2 linked regions of the Diceros bicornis minor genome follow. The protein of the gene in region 1 purifies or fractionates together with the protein of each later gene. This does not show direct contact. Links are inferred from orthologs where the notes say so. Each region holds a gene or a part of one and is shown on either strand. Other genes may lie near its edges. The genes, in order: PSMB5 and PSMD5.

Region 1 (10,194 bases):
AGCCGCCAGCCTGAAGCAGGTGAGGTGACAGTCCCTGGGTGTCGGGGGCCTGCCACTTGCACACATCCTGCAGAGCCATCCCTGGGACTGAGTGAAGGCTGGAAGGAGCAAGGCAGGGATTTGTGGGCTGGGGTCAGCTGAGGAAAGAGGGACGCCACGGAGAAGCTGGGCTGCAGCCAGAACAGGTGAGGAAGGCATGTGACCTGTGGTTCACTTCTCCCTAACTCCAAATCAGGCTTTGGGACAAGCTGATGGAGCAGCCCCCTCCTCCCCAGAGGACTGCAGAGGGGAGACAGGATGAGGCCAGCAGAGTCTCTAGTGCTGGGAAGACGCTGCCCATCACATACCTGAGCGTCACCCAGGGAGTCTCCTGTCTGTCTTCCCCCAAGCACCTGGAGTGGAGTGGGGGCTGGGTAACCGCAAAGGAAAGGAGGCGTGAGTGGAAGGAGCAGGGCAGGGTTCCTCTTGTTCTTCCTGCGGGGGGCATTGGGCATGCAAAGATCGATAAGGCTCTGTCCCCGCCCTGAAAGAGCTCCCAGCCTAGGCGGAGGTGAGGACAAGTCAGTGCTCAGATGTAGTCAGAATAGAGTGCCAAGGACCCACTGAGGCAAGAGTCCCTGACGTGGGGTTCTCCCTTCAGAGGTAGGGGCCAGGGAACTGTGGCCCTCAGCTCACATTTTCACCTCATGGTCAAGGTGAGGAAGGAGAAATGGACTGAGACAAGGACAAAAGAGAAAACAGCAAGAGAGCCTGTGAGGTGGGGTGGGGAGGCTCAAATACCTTCCAGAAAGTCAGGGTACTAAGGTGCAAGGTGAAGGGAAATTAGAACCTGAGGCTCTATCTCCTCCACTTTGGGCGTGAATATGAACTTCCATCTGCATACAGAGATGGCATTCCTGAGAGTTCTCGGGCAATATAGCTTCTCAGACTTCTGTTCCAGTTCTGAGGATGTAGCTGAAAGGATCTAGTGGCCTTCCCTCTCCTGGTCCTCCTTCTGCCCAATAGTTCACAATGGCAAGAAACTGGTTTGTAGTTCTGAGGCAGGAGAAACAACTGACCTTGACCCCATAATGCTGAGTCTAAGTCTTAGACCAACCAGGGGGGGTCAAGGGGTAAGGTTGCTGGACCCTGACAACTGGCCCTTCAGAAAGACAAAGTAGATTGGGCCAGAGTAACAAGCTGGAACTATTTCCAGCACCATATGGAGTATATTTTACTAAATATTGCAGCTCGAAGGGATGTTGTGGGAATGGGTTTATTCAAAGAAACAGACCCAGACACAAAGGAAAGAGCCTGCATGCTCCAGACACCATGGTGGTGGGGCTCTGGCAGTTTCCTGGCGTCTCAGTCTAATGGCAAGTGTAAACCTGTCATGGGAAGACTGGAGAGAGCAGGAGGTCAAGCCGAGGTCAAGCCAAGTTCAACCAGTCCTCCCTTCCTTTGAGTAGGACCACATGGGGATCTTACTGAAAAGATAAGAATGTCTCCTCTTTCTAAAGACTGTCTTAGGGCCGGCCTGGTGGCTTAGCGGTTAAGTGTGCGTGGTCCACTACTGGCGGCCCAGGTTCAGAACCCCAGGCACGCACCAACGCACCGCTTCTCCGGCCATGCTGAGGCCACGTCCCACGTATAGCAACTAGAAGGATGTGCAACTATGACATACAACTATCTACTGGGGCTTTGGGGAAGAAAAAAAAAGGAGGAGGATTGGCAACAGATGTTAGCTCAGAGCCGGTCTTCCTCAGCAAAAAGAGGAGGATTAGCACAGATATTAGCTCAGGGCTGATCTCCCTCACAAAAAAAATAAAAAATAAAAAAAAATAAAATTTAAAAAATAAAGACTGTCTTAGACACTTCATACATCGCTGGATTGCCACCTCCCTAGGTCAGGCCATTATCAAGTCAGATCTGGACAATCTGGAGGCCATTATCAGTCAGATCTGGAGATCTGCCCTCCAGTCTCCCCTCTAATCTTATCCTCCACACTGATGTGTTTTCCGAAGGAATCACTCAAATTCTGTGTCTCTTCTACTAAGAAACCTGGAAGGGCTTCAAAATCAAATCTGAACCACCTTCTCTGCCCCAGGCATTTAAGGCCTCTGGCATTTAAGGCCACTATGGTCCAATCCCAATTCACCCACTACAACCTCTTTTTACTCTATTCCTAACACATTTCCCACCTCCCCTTCATCTATTTGAATCCTATTCTTCAAAGTCTGGCTTAATTACCACGTATTCTGAAAATCCTTTCCAGGTATGGGCTGAGAGAGGAGAGACTGTGGGTTTGAGGAGTCAATGGGACCCAAGAGGCATTTAGAGAAATGAATCCAGACCTCCTTGGCAAAGCCTTCCTGGACCCCCAACCTCATCCCAACCTATAGTGACCTCCTCTCCCACCTCTAAACTACAGCACTTATCATTCCTACCCACCCACCCCAGCTTTATTGAGATATAATTGACATATAACATTGTATAAGTTTAAGGTTCACAATGTGATGTTTGATACATATATATATTGGAAAATGTTTACCACAACAAGGTTAGTTAACACATCCTCTACCTCACATAATTACCATTTTTGTTGTTGTTATGATGAGACCATTTAAAATCTACTCTCTTCACCTCTCAAGTATACAATACAGTATTGTTAACTATTGTCACCATGCTGTACATTACATTCCCAGAACTTATTCCTCTTATAACTGCAAGTTTGTGCCCTTTGACCAACACCTCCTTGTTTCCTCCACCCCCAGCCCCTGGCAACCACCAATCTACTTTCTGTTTCTAAGAGTTCGGCTTTATTAGATTCCACACGTGAGATCATACAGTATTTTTCTTTCTCTGTCTAACTTATTTCACTTAGCATAATGCCCTCAAGTTTCATTCATGTTGTTGCAAATGGCAGGATTTCCTTCTTTTTTATGGCTGAATAATATTCCACCACATAGATAACATTTTATTTATCCATTCATCCGTTGATGGACACAGGTTGTTTCTATGTCTTGTCTATTGTGAATAACGCTGCAATGAACATTGGAGTGCACATATCTCTACAAGATAGTGATGTCATTTTCTTGAGATAAATACTCAATTGCGGGATTGCTGAATCACATGATAGTTCTGTTTTTAATTTTTTGAGTAATCTCCATACTGTTTTCCATAGTGGCTGCACCAATTTACATTCCCACCAACAGCAGCGTCATTTGTACTTCTCCTTTTTGAGGTCTCCAAGTGTAGGGACCTTAGAGCAGAGAACTACTGTAAAGTAAATCAGAAACAGATTATGGAAGGCCTTGAATGCCATGCTGAAGAGCTGGACCTTACAGAACATTTTTGAGCAGGTGAGTGATAAGATCAAGATGGTGTTTTAGGAAACTCAGTCTGGTGATGTGCAGAATGAATTACAGAGTACAGTCTGGGCCCAGAAAATCAATTAGGAGAATATTTCAAGAGTGAGGAGATAAGAAGCCAAAGGTGGTATTAGTTGCAATTGAAAAGAATGTGAGAAGGATTGTAGAGGGAGAATCAACAGGACTTGGCAACTCACTGGCTGTAGAGGAAAGGAAGGGGAGTTGTTAAAGGTGAGCCAGGGCTTCAAGCCTCTGTGACTGGAAGAACACTGTTGTCATTCTTTCATGTATTCATTTGGCAAACATGTATTAAGCACACAGTGGGTACAGAGATGAATAGTAGACATATACCTGTCTTTAAAAGCTCACAATCCAGTAGGAAATAAATGTACACTTACAACCAGGTAAAATGTGAAAGGGCCTTAAGAGAGGTACAAATGCCATTAGTGGCAGAGTGACAGAACCCTGACAGAAGTCAGAAGGAGGCCTAGGTGCATTGCAGGGGTGACTGCAAAATAATACCTGCTCAATAAGCAGAGGCACTCTGCATTTGCCACACACTCTAACTGTGAGACACAGATAAAAATCTGCTTCATTCCATTCTGATGGTTGGTCTTGGAAAGGGTTGCCAAATTTCAGCATTAAAAATACAACACATGCAGAGTCTGCTGGGGAAAAGGAGGGGCTGAGTTGGGCATGAGAGGAAAGTGAAATTTAGATATTGATGGATGTTGCCGCTGGAATCCACCAAGGAAGGCCAGACACTGACTTCATAGAGCCTTAAAGCAGGAGGCAACATTTCATACATTTGCCCACTTCCTTGCTTGTTATGGTTCCCAAAAGAGTTGAAAAACGAAGGTGGGTGGAGAGAGGGAGAGGCAATAAAATATAGCACATTCCTGAATAAAGAGCTTGTCTTAGCAAGCTTAAATTGGAGAACCTCTTGGTACATCTTTATGGAGCCTTCTCTCCTCCAGGCTCTGAGATGGTAAACGACTATTGACTCAGTTATTCAGGAGCTGAATTGAGAATCTAGTTTGTGGATTAACTGGGCCCTTTGCTTTTTCTTCTTTATTCTATCTGCCTTTTGGGCCATTCATTACTTATAAGATTTTCCACCAGAGGGTGGGAGTAAAGAAAATATTGAATCTTAAAAGTTGGTTACTGTTAGAGAACGTGGGTAGTGTGGCGATTAATGCTAGCAAACAAGACGTATAGCACTTTCATAATTGTTGCGCTTTTCACCACAACCTCCTGTGGTTTAACTAACTTCATAGGAAAATGGCCTCAGAGGAGATCATTATTTTACCCAGTATTAGAGGGTGCCCTTAAACAAAATGGCAACTCCAGTCGCGTTAACAGGGTGCTGAATGAGTAGAGATGTAAAGTGTTGCTCGGACACCGGGCTGGGCGCGGACGACTTACCGCTAAGGGTTCAGAACTGATTTTCAACCAGTCACGCCCTTCTCAAAGATGGCCGGCCTCACTTCCCGCACGCAACATGGACGTTTCCGATCGCTTCCTATGAATTTGAGGTTAATGTAATCCAGTACTGCTCTCATGACCAGAGTCAAGATGGCAGCCAGATCCCTTTAGAATTTAAGGGTAGTGAAGCCATTTATTTTTTTTCCCTCTCGGTGAAAATAGTCCCTTGCGCCTGGCTGTTGTTTTTGGAGGCGTGGTTGCCAGGAGTTAAAATGGCTCCGGGCTGGGATAGATTGAAAAGGAAGTGAAGCTGTGACAGCGAGGCGTTGCCCGGCCGCTCTTTCCTAGGCGTTCACTCCCGGAGTTCCTTTTGCCCTTACTAGACATGGCGCTGGCCAGTGTGTTGGAGAGGCCGCTACCGGTGAACCGGCGCGGGTTTTTCGGACTCGGGGGTCGTGCAGATCTCCTGGACCTGGGTCCCGGAAGTCCCAGTGATGGGCTGAGCCTGGCCGCGCCCAGCTGGGGTGTCCCAGAGGAGCCGAGAATCGAAATGCTTCATGGAACCACCACCCTGGCCTTCAAGGTGCAGACCCCGCCGTCGCGCCGGGCTGAGTCCCGCACGCCCGCGCCCCTCCCGGTTTCCCAGCCGACCGGAGCTCGCGGTGGCCGTGGTCAGGAAACCCAAGCGGAGGCCCGGGCCTCTTGTCTCCCCACCAGCGGCTTCGCTGTCTCATTGCCCAGGGAGGCCTCGGTTCTCGAGGGGGGCGGTGGGGCTGGGGGTGAGTGGGAGAAGGAACACGAGGCTGCTTGGGTTGATGCCTAGGCCACCCCCGGTTGCTCCTGTTCAGGAAAGGGGAGGCCGCAGCAGCAATGAACATTGGCAGAGGGAAGGCTGTTGTAACCATTCACCAAAGATTTTGGAAACTGGGTGGCCCCGCTGGCTAGGCGAGGGTAACCGAAACGTTATGGCATGTGGGGGAAGATTGGTGGGAGGGAGCACTGTACTAGGAGCCAAACAGTTGGGATTCCTGACCCAGCTTTGCAATAATGAACTCTACGATCTTGGGCAAGTCATTCGATCTCATAGAACCTGTTCCCTTTGATGTGAAGCTCAAGTGACATTAGTATGTGGGAAAGTATATTGTGAAGTATAATACGACAGAGATGATGTTCTGGGTTTGCACTGACGCAAAGAGAAATGTCAAGGAGATGTTTTTGTGGTCTGATGTGGCCTGCTTTGTGTTTTCCTCTGATCTTAACAGTTTCAACATGGAGTCATTGTTGCAGCGGACTCCCGGGCCACAGCGGGTGCCTACATTGCCTCCCAGACAGTAAAGAAGGTGATAGAGATCAACCCCTACTTGCTGGGCACCATGGCTGGAGGGGCAGCCGATTGCAGCTTCTGGGAGCGGCTGCTGGCTCGGCAATGTCGAATCTATGAACTTCGAAACAAGGAACGCATCTCGGTAGCAGCTGCCTCCAAGCTGCTGGCCAACATGGTGTATCAGTATAAGGGCATGGGGCTGTCCATGGGCACCATGATCTGTGGCTGGGATAAGAGAGGCCCTGGTGAGTTTAGCTGCAGTGGCATGATTCTTGGGCTGCCCCTACAGAAAGGAGGGGCTGGATGAACGGGTGAATGAAAGGGCTTTCAGTGCTGAGGATGTGTTGATTAGGTTCTGGGACCTTCCTTCTCTTTGTTCATGGAAGGCACTGTAGGGTGGGAAAGGGCCTTGGAGTTAGCCCTGCTGTGTCATGACTAACCGTGGGACCTCAACACAGGTTGCTTATTTTCTCAGCCTCTGTTTCCTCATCTGTTACATTGGTTAGATGAGGTAATACATGTAAAGCATGTAATGTCTGGCACATAATGTTTTTCCTTCTACTCTCTCCCCCACAAAATGATAAGACCTACAAAGAGTGGAATTTGAGAATTAAATTGGATAATAGACATAAAAACTCCAGTCAGTGCTATATAATAGAAATATAATATGAGCCACACATTTAAGTTAAAATTTTTTAGTGAATATATGAAAAAAGTAAAGATAAATAGGTGAAATTAATTTTAACAATTCATTTAATCTAAAATACCTAAAATATTATCGTTTTGGCATGTGGCACTAGCCCCATTTCAAGTGCTGAATAGCCACATGGGGTTAGTCGCTACTGTATTGGACAGCAAAACTTTAGTATACAGTAAGTAGCCACTCAAAAATTAGTCATTTCTCTTCCCTTTTTTGCTTTAGGGAGTCTTTGGCCTAGAAGGGGCCTTTTGGGTTCATCTCCTTTCCTTGCTTAATATAAACACCCTAGGTTCTAGTCCATCATCTCTCTCAAAAGAAATTCCTTAGCCTATTTTCCTTTCCAGTTTATAAAAACCTTGCTGGGAAGCTCAATCTTGTATCTGGTGTCAGTTCCTCTTCAGCCAGTTTTGAATGTCCCTTTAGTCAAGCTGGAATACAGCTAGTCACTTTCTGTGTAATTTTCCCCTTCCGTGCTTGAAAATAGTTACTCTTTGCTCCTATTGTTTTTGCTTCATTCATTTAGCTCCTTACTAAATGCCTAGTTTTCCTCTCTCGAACAATTGTAGGGTACCCACAACTTTTTCACTTGCTTTGGGGAATATATCAGTTCATTACTCAATGGAGAATGAATGCGGTGAGATTAAAAAGTAGATGTGAAAGAGGAGCTCAGTTTGTTACTTTGGAAAGCGAGACACTTTTCTCTTTGAAAGGTGTGAAAGAATAGTTCCATACATCTTGTGTGGTCTAGGGAAGCATTTCAGAAATGTTACTTTGAGCCCTTAGCTGTTGGGTTTGTTCCAGGTGGTAGAAACAGTGTAAGGGAGTACAGAAACTGGCTAGCAAGGACAACCCAGGAAGCTGAGTATAACCTAAATGGTACCCTGTCCAACCCTTCCTGACAAACCATCCCATTCAGAATGAGTCAGAACCAGACTGAACCAGACTGAGAAAGGATCACAGATCACTTAATATAAGGCTGAATGAGATGAGTACGATTTTTAAAAGAACCAATAAAATGCTGAAGAAGGTTTGAGGAGGAGAGGGTTACTTCTGATAGGAGGAATTGGGAAGACTTCATGGAAAGGTGGCAGTTGTCATGGATGCGAAAATGAGAGAAAGGAAACATAACAATCGAAGGAAGGAAGCATGAGGTTTTGGGGGGAATAACTGGAAGTCCAGTTTAACTGGAACTAAGGTGTGTGAAGGGGAGTAGTGAGCCACGAAACCAGAAAGGTAAATTGGAGCCAGGTGGTGACCCTGCTGGGCAAGGTAGTGGCAGTGGGACTGAGGAAGGGCTAGATTGGAGTGGACATTAGAATCATCTGAACCTGAAAACTGATCGGGGCAGTGGGTCCCCAACCTGGCTTTCATTATAATCACCTGAAGAACTTAAAAAACAAGCTCCATGCTTGTCCCCGACTCCAGACCAATTGAAATAAAAAACCTGGAGTAAGTCCTAGGCATCTTTTTTAAAAGCTTCCTTAGATGATTCAGATGCATAGTGAGAGTTAAGAACCACTGAAATAGGAGAAAGATAAGTGATGCCATTGGCAGAATTTGAAACTACAGGAGGAAGTATGGGTTGGTGGGGCACAAGAAGGATGAGTTTGGTAGGTAATGGAGAACCACTGAAAGTATTTGAGGACAGGAAGTTTGAATCTGAACTTGGTGAGAAAGGCATCCAGTTGGAGAGGTCCAGCAGACAGTTGGAACTGATAAAAGTTTTATTAAAATTTTTGTCTAAATTTTCATCTATATTAGAAGTTGGCTAACTTTTTCATAAAGGGCCAAATAGTAAATATTTTAGGCCTACAGGCCATATGTTCTTTGTCTCAATTATTTAACTCTGCTGTTTTAGCACAAAAGCAGTCATAGACAGTGTATACACAAATGGGTGTGGCTGTGTTCCAATGAAACTTTATTTATAAAAATAGGCGGTTGGCCTGGCCAACCCCAGGTCTATACTGGCACTAATAGAAATAATGTCAGCCATACATGTCATTTTAAATTTCATAGTAGCCATATTTTAAAAATTAAAAATAAAGAAGAAATTAATTTTAATAGTATGTTGTATTTAATCCAACAAATCCAAAATGTTATCATTTTAGCATGTGGTACTAGCTTCATTTCAGATGCTCAGTAGTGGCACGTGGCTAGTGGCTACCACATTGGACGGTGCAGATCCTTACAATATGACTTGGAACTCTAGGCTTTACTCTCCTATTGTGTGATATATGTCTTGTCCCCCAGATAGTCTAAACTCTGAGGGCTAGGATTGTTTTAAACATTATCTCCCACAGTGCCTGAAGTTCCGGTCTTGAAACCGAAGTCATTTGAATTATACTTGCTTTTTGGTTGTGCAGAGAAGACAGGCAAGGTAGTTACTATAATGTGAGGTGAGATGAGGTGGTATGTTGTAGAAGCCTGGAGTCTTAATATTTAATTTGATTCCCTCAGCTTTTTTTTTTTTTTTTAAGCAATTTTATAGAAGTCCTATTTTCTTGTATTTATGTTGGTCTCGCCTGGGTTTCCAGAGGGTAGAGAACTATTGCCTTGGAGAATGAATTAGATGTCAAAGGAGTAGTCGTTTTTTTTCCCTGCTAACCTCATCTCTCTTTCTAGGCCTCTACTATGTGGACAGTGAAGGAAACCGGATCTCAGGGACCACCTTCTCTGTAGGTTCTGGCTCTGTGTATGCTTATGGGGTCATGGATCGGGGCTACTCCTATGACCTGGAGGTGGAAGAGGCCTATGATCTGGCCCGACGAGCCATCTACCAAGCCACCTACAGAGATGCCTACTCAGGAGGTGCGGTCAACCTCTACCATGTCCGGGAGGATGGCTGGATCCGAGTCTCCAGTGACAATGTAGCTGATCTACATGACAAGTATAGTGGATCTGCCCCCTGAAGGAGGGTGGATGTGGCTATTTTGCATTTGTTGGGGGGGTGACTTTCGTTGGTAATCTGGGTATAGCACCCCATCCTATAGTGGAGGCGTCCCCGATTATATTGATAATTTTGTTAAGCTCTGGTGCGTTGACCTCTGTGTTTCCAGTTGTTAATGAGATGCTGCAGAGGTGATTATTTGTTTTACTTTCTTGGATGTCAACATTACACTACTCGACTTCAGCCTGTGTTGTGTCTTTTGTCCACACTGTCCCTCCTCCAAGCACTTTACAGTCAAATAAACCAGGACAGTGGGAGGGAAGTGACTGTAATTACAGGAAACAGTGGTGTAAAGACATTGTCTCGTGAATACATTAACGTCCCCACTCATGAAGCTAATAACAAAGGAGAAGGAGAGGGAGGCAGGGAGGAGGGAGAGAATTCCCGATTTCGTTTGCAAAGAGATGAAAAGTTGATGAGGTGGAAAGATGCACAGGGCTGTACCAGG
Region 2 (10,727 bases), on another chromosome or scaffold:
CTACCTCCACCAACACCTCCAATTCAACACAAGAGTTCTCTGAACTAAACCAATGAAGCTTTTATTGTGTGTATTTTTTAATGACAACTCAGACTATAGGAAAAAAATAAAAGCGCTAGAGAGCAGGATTTAAATGCTAGTGTCAGTACTGCTAACTGCCCGTGGCCTTCAACAAGTTACTTCCTCTCGCTTCTACAAATGTTATCTAGAAATTGGAGATGATGTCACTTGTGCTGCCTACCTCAGAGTTGCCATGGGTTCAAACAAGATAGGAAAAACAATTTGTAATCACTAATTCAATAAAGGAAGGGACCGTGCTTTGCTCATCACTGTATCCCCAGCACAGTTCATGGCACACAGTAGGTTCTCAATAAATACTTGTAGACTAATGAATTAATACACAAGCAAGATGTTATTGAGACTAAGTAAGTGTCAACAAGTAGTGAAGTAAGTGGGGCTCTTGGGTCACCCACTGTTAACAGTGCTTTTAGCAGAGAACTAGACATACTGGAACACTGTCAGTCGTCAACTACATGACTCTAAGGTGGCTTCCAGCAAAGACTCTAAACGAAAGGAGCACTGGGCTGTCCTGTCCTCCAACCGAAAAAGCCATTTCTAGGGAACCTCTGGGGCATTTCAGCCAGCAGGTTATCAGTGGAAAACAGAGCTAATAGGATTACATATAAACTCACCTAAAATGTATCGAAACTCTTGTATGAACTCATAGTCAAAATACTAAGAGGTAAACGGGCCCTCGGGTATTATCTAAGATAACACTTAATTTAACAGATAAGGTAACTGAGACAGAACACACAGAAACTCTGTGACAGAACCAAGACTCGAATCCAAGACTTCTGCCTCCCATTCTGAGCTCTTTGAACTGCAAGGTACACTGACTAGGAATTGATCTAGTGGGGTCATTTCACCTTCACTCAATCCAGTGGCTCTCAACTCAGAGCAATTTTGCCCCCCAGGGGACAGGAGGCACTATCTGGAGAGAATTCTGATTGTCATGACTGGGGAGGAGATGCCATTGGCATCTAGTGGGTAGAGGCCAGTATTGCTGCTAAACATCCTTCTGTTGTACCAATGACCACATTGAAATACAGACAGTTGTTTACATATGTCTTCCCCATCGGACATGAGCTCTTCAGCCTCATTTATTTCGGTATTGCTGGCACTTTACCACCCCTGACAGGGCGAATGGGCTTGAGAAACATTTGTGCACCATACCAACAAAGCAGCAGTATGAAAGGTCAGTTTGGAACCAAGGGTGGACCACAATATATGAGAAAGTGACATGATGTGAATGCAAAACTGATGGAAAATACATACATCACAATATTCCCTAATAGAAACATTATAATAGGAAAAGATTTACTATAATTTTTAAAGAAAAGCTTTTATAACATTTTCATATTTATGTGTTTTACTGTATAACTTTTCTAATTTTATATTCTAAAATATTTTATGTATCCTTTCAGTTATTTCATATTTCATTCTGCCTTTTCCCTTTTTTTGTCCTGCAGTATCTGCATAGCCTTTAGGAGGTTATGACTGACTTGACAGTCTGTTAAGGCAGAAGGGGCCTCAGAAACCACCGAGTGGTTCTACACTTGCAATCCACCTAGTTTTAAGGAATCTGCGAATACTCTGAACTTGAATGCAACATTGTGTTTACCTATATACTTTCCTTGGGTACAAATCCAGAACTTTAACAAAAAAAAAAATTCAAGAAAAATTAAAATCCCAAAAAGGTTAAGGGCTACTGATTTGTACCAATTTTTACAGATGGGGAAAGTAAGGGTCAAAGAGGGAACGAAAATCACCCAAAAAGGGAGCAGCAGAGCTAGGCTAGACCCCTGGGCTTCTGACCCTGCCCTACAGTTCTCCTTACCACCACCACCACTGGTGGTACTCTGTAGCCATCTCCAACTTTAACATTTTAAGATATTTCAGAGATGAGAAAACAAAGCCCCCAGAAAAATACAGAAAAAGAAGACGGTAACTGCAATAGAAACAGAAAAGGAATCTATCATGTGACCCTTAGATGAGAACTCACCAGCAGACACCCCTTCACCTCTCAGACCTCCCTGGCAGTGAAACACAGTCCAGTCACTCCTCCTCACAAGGCAGGAGTGAAGGGGTGCTGGTAATCTTCAGAACCACGCCACAATCTCCAACACACCGGGGCTGTCTCCAGGGATCTTACCCTCCACCGGCTACCTGCCTGCCTCCAGCTCAAAATCCCAGGGGCACTAAAGAGAAAGGCGCCTTCTTCCCTCAGTCCCCAGGCTGGAGGTTTAGGGGTGAGGAGTTCCTAGCGTCGTAGCATGGGGCACTCACCAGGAGGCATATAAGGACCGAGGGCCGCAGGAGGCCTGGCAGAGGGCACCTCGAGCCCAGCTTGTCCATGGCGTCGCTGGTAATCGAGCGGCACAGCCCTAGGGAAGGGCGGCCTCAGGCTGAGTTGCCGGCTGGTGGGCGGGCACTGAGGGCCTAAACTGCCCGCTCCTCTCACCACCTGCTGCCGGCCCCACTGCCCAGCCACGCCCCAATCAGGAAGGCTGGAAGGAGACAGTGCAGGGGGCGGGGAATGAGGGAGTCATTTTCATTGGGCAACTCTCTAGAAACAAAACCCAAGCACCACATGCAGACCTAAAACCCCTGCAAAAATAAAAATACTAATTTTTCCTTCCCACTTTACCAACAACAAAAAAATCACAAACTCCCCAGAGATGTACAGATAAAAAGATCTAAGTTTCTTAAATACATAAAACCTTCAGAAACCACAGCCACAGAAACCACAAACACTAATACACACACACAAAACTCATCCACTTTACAGAGGCCCATCCCGCCAACAAAAACAAGTAAGTGAAGCACACTCAGCTGCCTTCCGGTCCCCCACACCACCCCCTCCTCCCAGGGTCTCCCTTCTAATCCTTGGCTTAGAACACTAGCTCTGACTGCTCTCCCTATGAACTCATTCATCTTTCCAGGCCAGCTGCTCCGTGCAGCCTTTCCCCGAGTTAATCCCGCAGTCCTCGGTTTCCCCTCAGGAAACTTTGCACACACTTCTGTTGCCACATTTAACATCAACTATGGGGAATTACAAACAAACAAGTAAAGCAGCAAGCTAATGGTTCACCGTTGCCCTTTGGGAACGCAGAGGCCACTGTGGCCAGCGTTTCCAATTTCTTAATCCAGTTTTTTAATGTGAAATATCTTAATTTTTAAAATATGACATTTCTGGGGTGGGGCAAGGGACTGAGTGCACAAGGGCACAAGCAAACTTTTTTAAGTTAAAGGAACAGTTCTATAGCTTGATTGTGGTAGTGGTTACACGAGTGTTAAAAAAATCAACAAACTGTACACTTAAATTGATGAAGTGTATTGTATGTAAATGGTACCTTAAACAAAGGAGGAGGGGGATGCTAGAAACCAGTCCAAAATTGCGTTAAACTGGGTAGACCAAACATATCTGTTAGCCAAATCTAGCCTGCAGGCTGCGGGTTCACAGCTTCTGTGTTTATTTTAATTACCTGTTTACCTGTCTGTCTCATTCTTTAGGACTATAAATTCTTAAAGACCTGATACATTTCCTAGGAAAGTGTCTGACAAAGTTAATAAATCAACTGTAGCCGTAGTCCTATCGTTTACATTGTTGGCTGTGCAGACTCAGGCCAGTTACTTAACCTCTCTGAGCTTTTGAGGGTTTTTTGGTAAAGGAAGGGCTAACACTTTCTTCATAGGTCTAAAGTGAGGATTAACAGAGAAGATTAACGTAGAGTGCTTTATAAAATGTAAGACCACGTCAGCATTTCAAGAGCAAGTAGTCTCATGCCAACTACCATTGGAAATGGTAGAAAATCTCCATTTCTGATTAAAGAATTTAGTATCTGTGCAAAAACTAAGGTTAGAGAAAATGAGGCTGAGTGGTCCTAAGAAAATCTTTATATTCAAAGTCCATTAAAATAAATCAAGACTGTGATCTTTTATACCTATTACATTAATAAGAAAATCCACTGTTAATGACCATTTACCTTAGATCCTGAGACGATTTCCTGAGATGATGTCCCCAAGTTTAGCACACCCCATATAGTTTATGCTCAATAAATGTTTGTTGAATGACTAAATGATACAGATGTGTGGCTGATGATTATAAGGATGATCACGATGAAGGTGATGTTAGGGCAACAAGGGAAGTTCAGCAAGAGATGAACTGTTATTTGGAAGAAACTGCCTCTGGATTCTTTTCTTCCTTCAACTCAGGCACCTTACTCTCTCCAGATTCAATTCCAAGGTTAGATTCCAAAAGTCCAATTCTGCATTTATGGCTTTGGCAGATTCTTCAGATATAGTAAGATTCTTAGTGCCACTGCCTGAGTGTCCACGCTCTTCTTCTGAAGGCTTCTTATCCTTTTTCTCTCTCTCTACCTTCTCCCCCTCCTTATAGGATTCAGAATCAGACTCAGACTCTCCTTCAGACTCATTCTGTACCCATCTCCTTCACCCACACTACTTCCTCTTTGTGTGTATTTTCCTTCTCTTTCTTAAACTCATTTGCTTTATTTTGAACGTTCTTTTGAATCTCTTTATGGGTATACGACAATTTATTGAAATCTTTTTAAAAGGTCAAACTTGGATCCAGGAAAGGATCCATATCAATTGCAGCATCAAGGAGGTCTGAGGCCTGGCGTAAGACAGCAGACAGTTTCCTTAGATTCATCTTTACCTCTGGTTCCAGGGACTTGTCTTCTTCCTCATCTATAGATACTCTTTCTCAGTTATCACTAAAGCTTCAAACTTGAGTAGCTCATTAATTTCCCTTTCATCAATACTGATGAATTTAAAGCCCATCTGTTTTGCAGACTGTATGATTTTTTTAACTTCTTCATTAGCTCTAAGGAAACATGCATAATCATTCACAACACCCTCCCAAAGTTTCAACCAGGCTTTAAGAGTAGCCGGTTTTATATCACTCATCACCTCTTCTATCACTACCAAAGCATCGGCAGTGTGGTACTGTTGCCATGCTTCTTTTGCAGTAAAGCAAGAGTTTTTTTTCAATATAGTCAACAAAATGGTCAACCATATGCTTGGTGTAATACCTCCTGAATGCTTCAATTATACCCTGATCCAAGGGCTGAAGACAGCCAGTACGTTCCAGAGGGAGGAACACACTATCAACTTTAGGATGAGCAAATAATAATGAGTCTGGGTGATTGGGACCTCTGTCCAAAATTAGCAACACTCTGAATTCAAGATTGTTTTCTGGTGATGGCCCTGTGGCATAGTGATTAAGTTCAGTGTGCTCTGTTTCGGCAGCCCCAGTTTGCAGGTTCGGATCTCAGGCACGGACTTACACCACTTGTCAGCCATGCTGTGGCAGCAACCCACAAACAAAATAGAGAAAGATCAGCACAGATGTTAGCTCAGGGCTAATGTTCCTCAAGCAAAAAAAAAAAAAGATTTTTTTCTGTTAAATAACTCCAGGCTTGATGGAGAAAACCAATTATGAAACCAATGCGAAAAGAGGGCGGCGGTTAATGATACTCTGGGGTGTGACTGCCAGAAAACAGGAAGACGTTTTTTATCTTTTTCCAAAAGACAAGTGGGATTAGCGTCTTTATAAAGCAGCAATGGTTTTATCATTTTGTCACCTGTGGCACTGGCACAAAAAAATGAGGGAAATCCTGTCCTTAGCTTCCTCTAAGCTTTCTGGCTTTTTGTCTTACTCCCTAAAAGTATGAGAAGGCATGCACTTCCAAAACAAGCTCATCTCCTTGGCGTTGAAGACCTGTTGAGGCACACAGCCGCTAGCTCTGATCAGTTTCTGGATCAGAGTTGGAATTGCTCGGGATACTTGGGTGCCGACTGGGCATTTAAGGGTTCCTCCTCCTCCATCAACCTCGAATTTCGCAGACTGCAGCCATCTCTAAACTTCTCAAACCATCCTTTGCTCGCATGAAACTGATCTGGGTTGCCCTTCCCGATGACTTCCATCAGTTGCTCGTAAACGCGTTTGGCCTGGTTGCAGGTGGCCTTCAGCGTCAGAGGCCGCCCCGCTACGGTCTGGTCCTCGAGCCAGGTTAACTCAGTCTCCATCCTCTCTATGTTTACATCACGGGGAATGCACAGCACCCTGGAGCAGACGGGGGAAACTCCCCATGTTGGCCCTGATGGCCCTCTCGTTTTTCTTAATGGTGCGCACAGTGGACTCACTGACGCCAAAAAAGGCGCCCCCCGTCGGTGTTACTCACGTCTCCTTCCAGCTTCTGGGGAATTTTCATCTTGTCTTCCAAAGGCATGACCCTCCGCCTCCTCTAGATACGTGTCTTGCCCGGGAGCAGGATGCCCATCGCCGCCGCTCCGCCCGGGGTGGCCTCCACCGCTGCGGCTCTCGCCGCGGCCCAGAGCCTGGTTTGAGAGCCAGAAGGACGCCCGCGAGGCCGTTTAACCTCCAGTGGGCCCTCATTCGCACCACTCCGCTTGCCGGACATTGGACGAGCCTTCGCTCCCTGTGGGAAACACACACGCCGACCGGAAAGTCGGCCCGCTTGACCAACTGAGCGGCGCCCAAGATGACGCGCGACCCCGCAACCACCAGCGATCGCCGGCTCGACCTTAACAGCCCCGGTCTCGCGAGGCTTGACATCCCGCAGCGCGCGCGGCCAGCCAGCTCCGCATTGCTATTGGTGCGGCCCGGCGGTTCGCCGTCAGAGCCGAAACTCGGGAGAGGGAGGCTGCGCCCGGCAGATCTCGCGAGGCTCGGGGAAGCGCGCCGCGAACAGGGCCGGGCGGGCGGATCCGCCAGCCCCTGCGGGAGGGGGCATGATGGCGGCCCAGGTGCTGGCGCTGCTGAGGGAGGTGTCGCGGCTGGAAGCGCCGATGGAGGAGCTGCGCGCGCTTCAGTCGGTGCTGCAGTCAGTGCCACTTAGCGAGCTCCGCGAGCAAGCGGCGGAACTGCGCCTTGGCCCGCTTTTCTCCCTGCTCAACGAGAACCATCGGTGAGAGGACGCTGCGGCTTCAGTGGGGGAGAGTGACAGCCCCAAGTATGGAAACCGGGGTGGGTGGGGTGAAGGGGAAGGCTTTTCCAGTCGCAGTGAAGGTAGAATATAGCTGAAATGTAGAGAGGGGAGGACCCTGGTCTGAGAGTCAAGAGACGGGGGTCAAGTCCAGGTTCTCAGGTGTGCCCCTGGCCTCTCTGCCTTCATCCTTGAAATAGGATTTGGGGGAGGAAAGCAAGGTTGCCCATCTGCATGGAGGACTCCACAATCCTGTGTACAGGTCCTTGGCTTTTTCCCTCTTAAGAAGGGGTGCTATCCTGGCAATTTGGCAAGATCCGTCAACATTTTTAATTCACATGCCTTTTGATCCAGTAATTCCTGTTATAGAACCTTAACATGCAAGTATACTCCGACACAAAGTGTACTGTATATACGGGAATATTCGTAGCAGAAGGTGACAGCAAAAACCTAGAAACAACCTAAATATCCATTAAAAGAGGATTCTAAATAAATTATGACACATTACTATGTAACACTATACAGCTGCTAGAAAAATTGAGGTAGATCTATACATGTGGACATGGAAAGATCTCTAATATATGTTGTTGAATGGAAAAAGAAAATTGTAGGAGTTTATGAGCCCCATTATGTGTTATTTTTACAAAGAATTACAATTTTCCCGCACAAACACACAGGGCTAGTATAACATTGGGAATGTCTGAAAGGTACAGCAGAAACTATTAATATAGAAGTGGGACTTAGAATGGTAGGATGGCAACTTTTACTTTTCATTTTATGCTCATTTGTTGTATTTGATTAAAAAACACTTTGTATTTGATCCTCCAATAATTTTAAAAGGTTGAAAATGTTTGTGATCCAGAAATTTAAAAGTGACCTTTCTGCTTGAAAGGAATGAGTCACTGAATCAACACTGGATGATTTCGGAAGACTTTCTTGGCTCTGACCTAAGATTCCTCCCTTTTTCCTATTTGTTCTCCCTTCATTAAATCCGTTAGTTAACATTATTGAGGTCTGTTTCTGAAATATGTCTTTGTTTGCCCATTTTAATTCAGGCCCTCGTTTTCTCCCTCTTGCTAGGTCTATTACATTAGTCTGACTTTTCATTACCTCAAAGCTTCCTTTTCTAGTGTGTCCTTGCCACACTACAACCACAGTGAACTTCTCGGGTCATTTGGCTCACGTCTTTTCCATGGTTTCCCATTGCCTACAGTGTAAAATCATGACTTCTTAGTCTGGTGTTTGGACCCTTACAGTATATTTCCATCCTATTTTCCAGCCTCATCTTTTTCCTCCACTCCTGTAAACATATTTCATCTGCTCCAGCTACCACGTGGCACCACTAACTTTCCCTTGATCATGACTTGGCACTTTTCTAACTTTGTTCATGCCATTCCTTCTAACTGAAATGCCCTCCCCTCTCTCCAAATCCTTTAAGGCCCAGGTGAAGTGCCATCCACTGCAAAAAGTCTTTCTTGGTCACTCCAGTTGCAAGTGACTGGTCCTCAGATCTCCTGAAGGACGTTATCATTACTTCTGTTGATAGTTAACACTATTGCTTTATGTTATAGTTCTGTATGTGTTTGTGTCTAGTTTGTAAATTCTTTGAAGGCAGGGGCTGTATTTTGTTCATCTCTGCATCTCTCATAGGGCGCAGCACATAATGCAATATATGCCAAATAAAAGATTAGACTCATAAATTTTAGAGAGGCCTAGTCCAACCACTTTATATTATAGGTGAAGAGACTTTCAAGGCTCATACCATAATTTAACACCAGAGATGCAATAGGAACTGAAATGAAGAGGAGTTTTAAGAATAAGTTCTATGGGGGGGATGGTTTGCTGACTGAAGGAGCAGTGCTCTAGCAAGCAGTCTTAATGAAAATTTAAAGGCAGAGTAATTCAGAACTGGGTACATAGTAGATAGCAATTGCAATTTGTGGAAATAATAATTCTCTGGATGGTAGATTGGCATTCTCCAGATGTATTGCTATTATCCTGGTTAAACCACACAGGTTGCTATATATTAGTTCAAGATCTGATCTGATAGATGTAAATCTAGAATCTTTTTTTTTTTTTGTGAGGAAGATCGGCCCTGAGCTAACATCCATGCCAATCCTCCTCTTTTTGCTGAGGAAGACTGGCCCTGTGCTAACATCTGTGCCCATCTTCCTCCACTTTGTATGGGACGCCACCACAACCTGGCCTGACAAGCGGTGTGTCGGTGCGCACCCAGGATCCGAACCCGGGCCACCAGCAGCAGAGCGCACGCACTTAACTGCTACACCACGGGGACAGCCCCTAAATCTAGAATCTTGATAGGAGTTTTTGTGAGGGAAAGTAAGTCCTAAGGTTACTGCTTTGCAACATGGAAGTCAAACAAGACTGATTATAAGTTATTAACTCTTTGGCTTCCTGGTTCCTAAGGGCCACATGTGGCCTGAAATGTGTGTACTATGTGGTTTAGCCTACCATTGCTTTTTTTAAAAACAGCTTTATTGAGATATAATTTACATAAAATAAACTGTACATGATAAAACATACAATTTGACAAGTTTTGACATGTATATACCCATGAAACCATTACCACAATCAAGATAGCAAAGCTATCTCTCACCCCCGGAAGTTTCCTCGTGCCCCTCAGTAATCCCTTCCTGCCTCAGCCAGGCAACCACTGATCTGCTTTCTATCACTATAGATGTTTGCCTTTTTTTTTTTAGAGTTTTATATAAATAGAGTCATACAGTATGTACTCTTTTGTTTGGTTTCTTTCACTCATCATAATTATTTTAAGATTTATTCATGTGATATGAATAAATACTTTATTCCTTTTTATTGCTGAGTAATAGTCTATTATATGGATGTACCACAATTTGTTTATTAATTCACCTGGTGATGAACATTTGAGTTGTCTCCAGTTTGTGTATATTACAAATAAATGCTCACTGCTGTGAACATTTGTGTACAAGTCTTTACATGGACATATTTTTTCTTCTCTCTTTGAGTGAATACCTAGGAGTAAAATGGTTGGGTCACATGGTAGGTGTACGTTTAACTTTTAAGAAACTGCCAAACTGTTTTCCAAAGTGATTGAACCATTATACATTCCTACCAGCAGTGTATGAGAGTGGATTATAAACCTAATATAAAACCCAAAACTATAAAATTTCTCAAAGAAAACTTATAAAAAAATTTTTGTGCCTTGGGTTAAGCAAAGATTTCTTTGATGTGACACCAAAAGCATGATCCATAGAAGAACAAATCAATAAATTTTGACTTCATCAAAATTAAACATTCTCCTCTTCAAAGGTCACAGTTAAGAGAATGGAAAGGCAAGTCACAAATGGAGAAAAATCTTTGTAAAGAACATATTTGATAAAGGACTTAAGTATTTGGAATAGATAAAGAACTCTCAAAACTCAATAACAAGAAAAGAACCCAACTTAAAAATCAGCGAATTATTTGAACAAGAAGATATATGGCTGGCAAATAAGCACATGAAAACATACTCAACATCATTAGTCATTAGGGAAATACAGATTAAAATCACATTGAGATTCTACTACATACCTATTAAAATGGCTAAAACATACGAACAAAAAACACCAAAACAACCCAAGTGTCCATCAGTGGATGAATAGATAAACAAAATGTGGGATATACATGCAATGGAATATTATTCAGCCTTAAAAAGGA

The links.
Region 2: the proteins of PSMB5 (region 1) and PSMD5 fractionate together in Homo sapiens (co-fractionation; 3 studies listed by BioGRID). This does not show direct contact. The link is inferred for Diceros bicornis minor from reciprocal best matches to the Homo sapiens genes PSMB5 and PSMD5.

The regions. Positions count from the first base shown.
Region 1 is NC_080744.1:24,725,000-24,735,193, forward strand, and holds PSMB5 (proteasome subunit beta type-5), read left to right. Parts: upstream 1-5,144; 5' UTR 5,145-5,160; coding exon 5,161-5,358; intron 5,359-6,037; coding exon 6,038-6,344; intron 6,345-9,099; coding exon of another isoform or gene 9,100-9,194; exon of another isoform or gene 9,195-9,233; intron 9,234-9,421; coding exon 9,422-9,708; 3' UTR 9,709-9,929; downstream 9,930-10,194. Other genes in the region: PSMB11 (proteasome subunit beta type-11), read right to left, coding at 1-79. UniProt on the Homo sapiens protein: Component of the 20S core proteasome complex involved in the proteolytic degradation of most intracellular proteins. This complex plays numerous essential roles within the cell by associating with different regulatory particles.
Region 2 is NC_080767.1:27,976,194-27,986,920, reverse strand, and holds the start of PSMD5 (26S proteasome non-ATPase regulatory subunit 5), read left to right. Parts: upstream 1-6,814; 5' UTR 6,815-6,837; coding exon 6,838-7,013; exon of another isoform or gene 7,014-7,058; intron 7,059-10,727. Other genes in the region: protein CutA homolog, read right to left, coding at 2,347-2,415. UniProt on the Homo sapiens protein: Acts as a chaperone during the assembly of the 26S proteasome, specifically of the base subcomplex of the PA700/19S regulatory complex (RC).